Struthio camelus: one gene and its partner. The protein of the gene in region 1 purifies or fractionates together with the protein of each later gene. This does not show direct contact. Links are inferred from orthologs where the notes say so. Each region holds a gene or a part of one and is shown on either strand. Other genes may lie near its edges. The genes, in order: HDAC5 and PRKD1.

Region 1 (3,900 bases):
AGCCGGTCCCCTCGTGCACACCCGTGCAAGACAGCCAGACCCCCTCCGTGCACGCCCGTGCAAGGAGAGCCGGTCCCCTCGTGCACACCCACGCAAGACAGCCAGACCCCCTCCGTGCACGTCCGTGCAAGGAGAGCCGGTCCCCTCGTGCACACCCACGCAAGACAGCCAGACCCCCTCCGTGCACGCCCGTGCAAGGGGAGCCGGTCCCCTCGTGCACACCCACGCAAGACAGCCAGACCCCCTGCGTGCACGCCCGGGCAAGGGGAGCCGGTCCCCTCGTGCACACCCACGCAAGACAGCCAGACCCCCTCCGTGCACGCCCGGGCAAGGGGAGCCGGTCCCCTCGTGCACACCCACGCAAGACAGCCAGACCCCCTGCGTGCACGCCCGTGCAAGGGGAGCCGGTCCCCTCGTGCACACCCACGCAAGACAGCCAGACCCCCTGCGTGCACGCCTGTGCAAGGAGAGCCGGTCCCCTCGTGCACACGTGTCTCCGGGGCCGAGTCCGTGCCGGGGGGGCCCGCGGCTCAGCCCCCCACAGCAGAGGCAGCGCTGCCACCAAGCCCACCGTGCCGCGCACCAAACCCCGGGCGAGACTGCAGCGAGGACGGCGTCCTGCCACCGTCCCCCTGGGCACCCACGTGCCGCCGTGTCCCCCCCCCAGGCTGCAGAACCCCGGTTGACCCGGGGCTTCCCGGAGCCGAGCGAAGCCCAGCGCTTGCGCTCGGCCCCGCGTACAGCGCCAGGCGCGCGGCCCCAACCCACCACCCCAAACGGGCAGGGAGGACGCGGGGAAACCCCCCCCCCCATCGCCGCCCCCTCCTCGCAGCGCCGCGCCGGCAGCGTTCGCTCCGGGCTGCTCAAAGCCGCCTGGCAGAGATAAGCGGCTTAGAGATCCAGCTCTAAAAATACCCGCCGGGTATTCTTAGCCGCTGGCAGGCGGCGAGCGCCGGCCCCGGGCACCGGCTGCGAGGAGGAGGCAGCGGGCCGGGACGGCGGTGGGGGGCACCGCGCGGCGCCGCGGGAAAAAGGGCCAAGCGGTTCCCGCGGCAAGAAGCAGGCGGGCGGCAAGCGGCGGCGCGGGGCACCTCGGAGCGCCGCGGGGATGGGGGTCACCCACCCGCCCCCCCCCCCGGCGGCACTCACCTGCGGCGGGCAGGGCGGCGCGGAGCTGCGCGCGGGACAGCAGCTCCAGGGCGGGCCGGCGGCGAAAGGCGAGCGCCCCTCCGAAAGGGTCGGCGGCGCGCCGCGGCGCCCAGGGCAAGGGGCCCGGCGAGCGCGCCGGCGGGTTCGGCCGCCCCACGCTGCCCTGCCGGGGCTCGGCGTGCCGCTCTCCGCGGCCCGGGGGGGGGGGGCCCTGGGGGCCGCTGGAAATAGCGGGAGCGCGGGAGGAGCCAGCTATAAATAGGGTGGCGCGCTAGGGGAGCCGGGCTCCGGGGACGCCCGCCGGCACCAGCACCCGCCGGCTCCGGCACGGCGGGGGGACGTGCTGGGTACAATGCAAAATCCCCCCAAATGCAGCGCTGAGATGGGGGTGGGGGGGGGGAACAAATCACTGCTCGCCACTGCCCCAGCCGCTGGCTGGGGGTCGGGGACCAGGCTCCCCCCACCCCGCGCCGGGGTCCCAGCCCGCAGCAGGGTCCCGCGGGCACGGCCGCCCCCACGGGTGCCGCTCCGGCCCCCCCACGCCCCATCGCCCAGCAGGGTCACCCCGGCACCCCCAGCCCCTAAATTGCTCCCGGTGGTGTGTTGTGTCCCCCCCCCCCCAAGGAGACCCTAATTGCTCGGGACGTTAATCCGCATCAGCGCTGCCAGGAATAACATCCTGGTTGCACCGAGGGGGATTAACACCCCCCCCCAGGACCCCCCCCCAAACCCCCAGTGGCGCCGACAGCCGAAACCGGGAGCCGTTTTCTGCCGGATCAGTGACGTGAACCGGCTCACGCTCCCGGGGGGGGGGCACACGACGGGGACCCCCACGAGCCACACGTCCCACTGCCGCCCCCCCCCGCGGGGGGGGGCCGTGCGTAAACCCCCCCCCCCCCAGCAGGCAGCCACGTTTATTTACCAGCGTGTTTAATCCGAGCCTGAGACTTTTAATAGCCGGGATATTTATGGGACGCCTCCCCCCGTGCCGCCCCCCCCCCCCAACCCCGGCCCCCCGCCCGCCGGGGCGCTTTGGGGCTTGACGTCAGCGGAGCTATTTTTGGCACCGCCGTCGGGCAGGAGGCCGCGGGAACGAGCCCTCGCCGGCCGCCGGACCCCCGCGGCACGCACCGCCCCCCCCCTCCACCCCGGCTTTGGGGCTGAACTGGGAAAACGGGTGCAAGCAGAGAGCGCTCCCCCCCCCCAAATCCCACCCTGGGGTGCATCAAGCATCCGAAGAGCATCGCGGACCCCGACCCGGTCTCGGCCACCAGGTGCCCGGGACGGACGGGAGCCTGGCGACGCCGGGCTGAGACCTGCCCAGCTCATCACACGCGGCCCGCCGAGCAGCAGCCGCCCAAGCTCAAGCCGCCGGGCTTCGGCTCCCAAAAGCACCATCCGAAAAGCCCGGCTCGATCCAAACGGGGGAAGAAGAGGGGGGAGGACGGCGGAGCGGGAGCAGAAAGGGAGGGAAGGGGCCGGGCCGGGCCGACGAGCGGCTGCGGGGTCCCTGAACCCATTTCGCAGATGGGGTAAAGAGGACGGGGGCAGCGGCGGAGCCCCCCACCCCGGGCCGGCGGCAGGTGGGCAAAGGGGGGGGGGGGATCCCGCCCCGCCGGCGCTCACCTGCGTCGCTCCGGGAGTCCATGGCGGCCGGCGGGACGGGACGGGACGTCGCGCAGGAGGCCGAGGCGGGCGGCTCGGCCGAGCGGCCTCAGCACCGCTGCGCCATGCCCCGAGGAGGCCCTGCGGGAGGGAAGGCAGGCGAGCGCCGTCAGCGGCCCGGCCGAGCGCCCGCCGCGAGGCCACGGTGGCGGCCGCCGCGTTACACAAGGCTCCGCAGGGAAACGGGAGGGGGGGGGGGGCGGCCGCGCGCGGGGCAGCGGCTGGACACGCGCGGGGCAGCGGCGGCCGCGACCCTGCATCGGGGGGACCCCGCACCCGTGGCAGGTTTGGGGTGGGGGGCGGTCAGCGATAGAGCCGAGACCGGTGCAACACCCCCCCCCCAAACATGCGTTTGCAAACAGCCCCTCTGCGGCCCGGGCCCCACGCACAGCGGCGGCGCGGATGCACGGGGGCCCCCCCGGCATTGCACGGCCCCCCCACCCACCATTGCATAGCCCCCCCCCCTCCGGCATTGCACGGGCCTCCCCCCCCGCCCCGCATTTCACGGCCACCCCCCACCGCATTGCACGGCGCAACCCCCGGGGCACGGGCCCCCCCCCGCCGCATTGCACGGGGCCCCCCCTCTCGCCTCGCCCGGCATAACGCGCGCTGCACGGTGCGTGTGTGTGTCCCCCCCCCCCCCCCGCGCGGCATCGCCCAGCGCATCCAGCGGTGCACGGCGGCCCCCCCGCCACATCGCCAGTGCGCGGTGCCCCCCCCCCCAAAAAAAAAAAAAAAAACGCCATTACATGCTCCCCGCGTTGCACGGCGCCCCCGCCCCGGTGCACGCCGCACCCCCCCCCGGTGCACGCCGCACCCCCCCACCCCCCCCGGCGCGCGGGGCCGTTACCTGCGCGGTGCCGGCGCCTAGCGGGGCCCCGCGCGCCGCCCGCCGCGCGCCCGGCCCGGCCGCGCCGCCCCGCGCGCGCCCCGCCGCCCCTCCATCTTCGCCGCGCGGCCCCGCCCGCCCCGACAACAACATTCGGTGACGTCACTCGCCGTCACGTGACGGAACCCTGCGCTAAAAATAGCCTCGCCGCCACCGCCCCCTCCCCCCCCCCCGCCCCGCCGCCGCCTCCCTCCCGC
Region 2 (3,900 bases), on another chromosome or scaffold:
AGTCCTATTACGTGTAGTGAAGTGATGCATGTTAGTGAAATTATATATACATACATACTTGCAGATTTAAGCTTAAAACAAAGTTTCTCAGGATTAATAACATACAAATTAATCTGCAGAATAGAGGGAGGTATAGGCCACCATCTGAAAAAAAGCCTATCTTTCTTTCCATTTTCCCTTTCCTTAAACCTCTTTCTTCCCAAAGGCAGTAATTTGGGCTGTGACAGTCTGTGACTAGAAGAGAGCTCCTCATTCAAGTATACTCTGTAGAAAAGCACCTAAAAGATTATGTCTTTCAAAAAAAGACAGTCTGTAAGCTACAACAAATTAAGCTGTTCAAATTTTTTATGTCAGTGCTTACTTAATCAAGTCTGACTCTTGGATGAGAAGCCAACACATTTATTTTTCTTTAGCCAACGCTACACTGTTAGGAAAATAGGAAATTGTTAGGAAATACAAAAGATTAGACTCAGGCACATTATAAACCCATGAAACGTATATGCTACTCAAGCACAAAAATATAAACAATGAATGCAACAATCTTAGCATATTTACATTACTGCTAATATAATAGCTGATAAACAGTTATATATATAAACTATACATAACCATTATAAACCATATATAGAAAGTTATATATAAACTTATAAACAACTTATATACCTATTAAAAGCATATATCTTGTGCATAACTTCTGTGTGAGCAAGCAACAAGTTTCGTCTGGGCTTTGAAAGCAAATACAGTAATGTTAAACTGCGGGCATGTCTTTCTTCAGAATTTAACTTAATAAAGCAGTTAACCCTTTCTTAAACTAAGAAAAATATAGAATTTTAAAAATGAAGCTGCATATTTCATACCATTTTGAAAACATGTCATTAGTTGTGAAAAAAGGGAAAGTTCACCCTCTGTAGTGAGGTTTAGATGACAGAGTAAAAACAAACCCAGAGCAAAACTACCAACTTAATTTTGGACTTTTTTTTTCCCCCTAAATCTTACCTCAGTAAAAAACAAGCAGTTAAAAAAAATTTCCCATTATAACTAACCTGAATATCTGGCAGTTTTACTTTTTAGCCCTTAAAAAAATCATTGTGATACTTCTACGTGGGTCTTTCAGACAACACACAGTAGTGCAGTAAAACTGTTAACATTCAACATGATTGTTGAGGCACAGAAACTCGAAAGGACAAAGAGTAGCGGCGTTGCAGGGCAGATCCAAGTGCAATGGGTTTTAGGGTGTTCCCCGAGTGGCGCGAGACTTCTGGCTAACTCTGTCCCGTGATGCTACAATTTCGGAGGAGCAGCAAGGTAAATGCCGGGCGCTGCACCCCGCGCCGCCCCCCGGCCGGGCCCGGCGGCCGCAGCACCAGGCGGTGCCTCCCGCCCCCCCTGCGCCGAGGCCACCTGCCGGCTCGCGGGGCTGCGGCCGCTTCCGCAGACCCCCCGCGGCCGCTGCGCGCCCCGCGGCCGGGCTCGCCCAGCCCCGCGGGGGGCTGCTGGCAGCGGCCGGCGGCGGAGCAGGAGGCGGGGGCGTTGCGGTGCGACTCCCCTCCCCCCCCCCCCAGCTCGCACAAGCCTCGGCGTTGCCCCCCGGGGGCCGCCCCCAGCTCCGCGCCCGGGGCGAGCGTCACGGCGGGGCGCGGGGGGCACCGGGCAGCCCGGCAAGGGGGAAAGGGTGCGGAGCGCCGCACGCCGCTGTGAATCCTGGGCTGTCGGGGCTGGATTTTCCTTGTTGGTGTTGTTGTTTTCTTTTTTTTTTTTAAGTGGAAAGTTTCCTCTCCCAGCAGAGGCTGGGACAACATATGAACTGCCCCAGGGCGCCGCGCTGCCATCGCAGCTGACAGGTTTCTACCCCCCCCCCGCCACCCCCCGCCTTCCGAAGCAGTAAAAAGCAGGCAGATAGATCCGGCTGGGGGTTGTTTTTAATAACAGCTATTAATACAGTAACTGCATCCCTTGCCAACAAAATAAAACCCAAAGTCTCCTGCCAGCATCCCGCACGGAGCCTCCTCGGCAGCGGGACCGGGCGGCGGGGCAGGGCAGGGGGAGAGGGCAGGGGGGCAGGCAGCAGAGGAGGGGAGCCACGGCAAAGCTGCGATCGGTCTCCGTAGCCCCGGAGCTGAGTCGCCAGGGAGAGGAAAGTTCACAGCCAAGAGCAGCGCCCGCGGGCAGAGGGGCTGCCGGAGCGGCGGGGGGGGGGGGGAGGGCACGGAGCTCAAACTGGGGATTTCTTCTTACCTTCTGGTCGACAATGGAGCAAGCCATTTCCCGGACGTGGGCAAGGCTGAGGTCGCCCGAGGAGTCCTGCAGCAGCAGCACCGGCTCGCGGCTCAGCCCGATCTGGAGGTGGAAGGCGACGCCGCCGCCGCCGCCGGGAGCAGCCCCCGCCGGCGGCGGCAGAGGGCTGGGCGGCCGGATCAGCGGAGGGGCGCTCATCGAAAACTTCCCGCCGGAGCCGCCGCGGGGGAGGCAGGGAGAGAGACGCGGGCACCGCGGTGAAAAGTTTGCGGCCGCCCCAGAGGCGCCGGGCGAGCTCCCCGCGAAGTTTCAGGGAAGTCCCGCCGAGCTCCTCCCGGGCGAAAATGGCGGGGGGGGGGCGAGGGGGAGGACCGGGGAGGATGCAGACAGGAAAAGGCGGCGAGAGACGCGCAGAGCGGTGAAGGCGGGGGGGGGGAGCCCGGCCCAGCGCCGGCGAGGTGCTGCCGCCGCTCCGGCTGTTGGCGCTGTGCGCGGCGCGGGGGCGGGCCGGGCCGCGCCCTCCGCCGAGGCCAGCCGGGCCGGGCCGTCTGCCGTGCCGTGCCGTGCCGCGCCGCTCCGCCACCACACGGCGGCCGCGTCCCCACGGGCGGCAGCGCTGAAATCGCCCCTTGCCGGCGGGTGCCCCCGCGCGAGGACGCCGCCGCCTCCACCCGCCCCATCGGCGCCCGCGGGACTGGCCGCCCGCGCCCCGGCCCCCCCCGCTCCCGCCCCGGTCACTAGGAGGGCACAGCCTGCCCGGAGCAGCGGCGCCCCCCCCCCCCCATTGCCCGTCACCCTCCGTTGTGTGAGACCTTCAAAGCCGCCTTCATCCCCGTTTCCCCGTCCCCTGCGCCCGCCCCGGCCGCAGCTGGTGGCAGGTGGAGGCAGAGCCTGAGGAAGCTGCGGATTTTCCCTCGCTTCGAGGCAGTGCGGTGGGCTCCTCAGGGCTGGGTGGCAGCAGCCGAGCCTGGGCGACGGTGGGGAGATTTGCGTGGGAGTGGGAGCTTCTGCCCATCCCCGGCTCCTTCTCCTCGACCGGCACCTCCTCCAGGAGCCCCCGTCAGGGCTATCTGCGGGAAGAGATGGGGGGAAAAACTTGCACCTGTATCTTCTGTAAGCAGCTTCCAGTTTCACATAATGGGCTGTGCTGAGAAGGAGCTCCCTGCCATCTAAAACCAGGATGAGTTATTCTTCCCAACTTTCAGGATCAGCGCAAGTCCCATCCATATGCACAAACAATGTGGTGGCAGGTGACATTTAATCAAAAAAAAATGCTAATCTCCACTTGGTAATCTGTCAAATGATTGGGGAAAAAGGAATTGTGAATACCTTAGATACCAAAGGAGAAACTCTTGAGTTTTTCATATGGCACCTGTAAGGATGGCAGTTGTAAATGTGTGTTTGTACGTAGAGGTTGATCCCACATTTACTTGGTTTTTTTACAAAGTACTTTTTTGACTAAATGTACAGTAACAATGTTATTTCTTTGCCATCATATGTTTTATTGGGTCACAATTTGCTGTGGCATGTTTATTTCACACCTGGGATTTGCCACCCTTATTGTCTATATAGTTTTGGACCCAGTTTATTCTTCAGCAAGTTTTCTTTTTAAACTGTTAATTTTAATCTGTGTCCTCTACAAAATACCAAGTCTGATGAAAATGT

Evidence for each region.
Region 2: the proteins of HDAC5 (region 1) and PRKD1 purify together in Homo sapiens (affinity purification with western blotting; 4 studies listed by BioGRID, with this or other methods). This does not show direct contact. The link is inferred for Struthio camelus from reciprocal best matches to the Homo sapiens genes HDAC5 and PRKD1.

What each region holds. Positions count from the first base shown.
Region 1 is NC_090966.1:4,665,210-4,669,109, reverse strand, and holds the start of HDAC5 (histone deacetylase 5), read right to left. Parts: upstream 2,813-3,900; 5' UTR 2,798-2,812; coding exon 2,776-2,797; intron 1-2,775. UniProt on the Homo sapiens protein: Responsible for the deacetylation of lysine residues on the N-terminal part of the core histones (H2A, H2B, H3 and H4).
Region 2 is NC_090946.1:52,818,515-52,822,414, forward strand, and holds the start of PRKD1 (serine/threonine-protein kinase D1), read right to left. Parts: upstream 2,729-3,900; 5' UTR 2,434-2,728; coding exon 2,236-2,433; intron 1-2,235.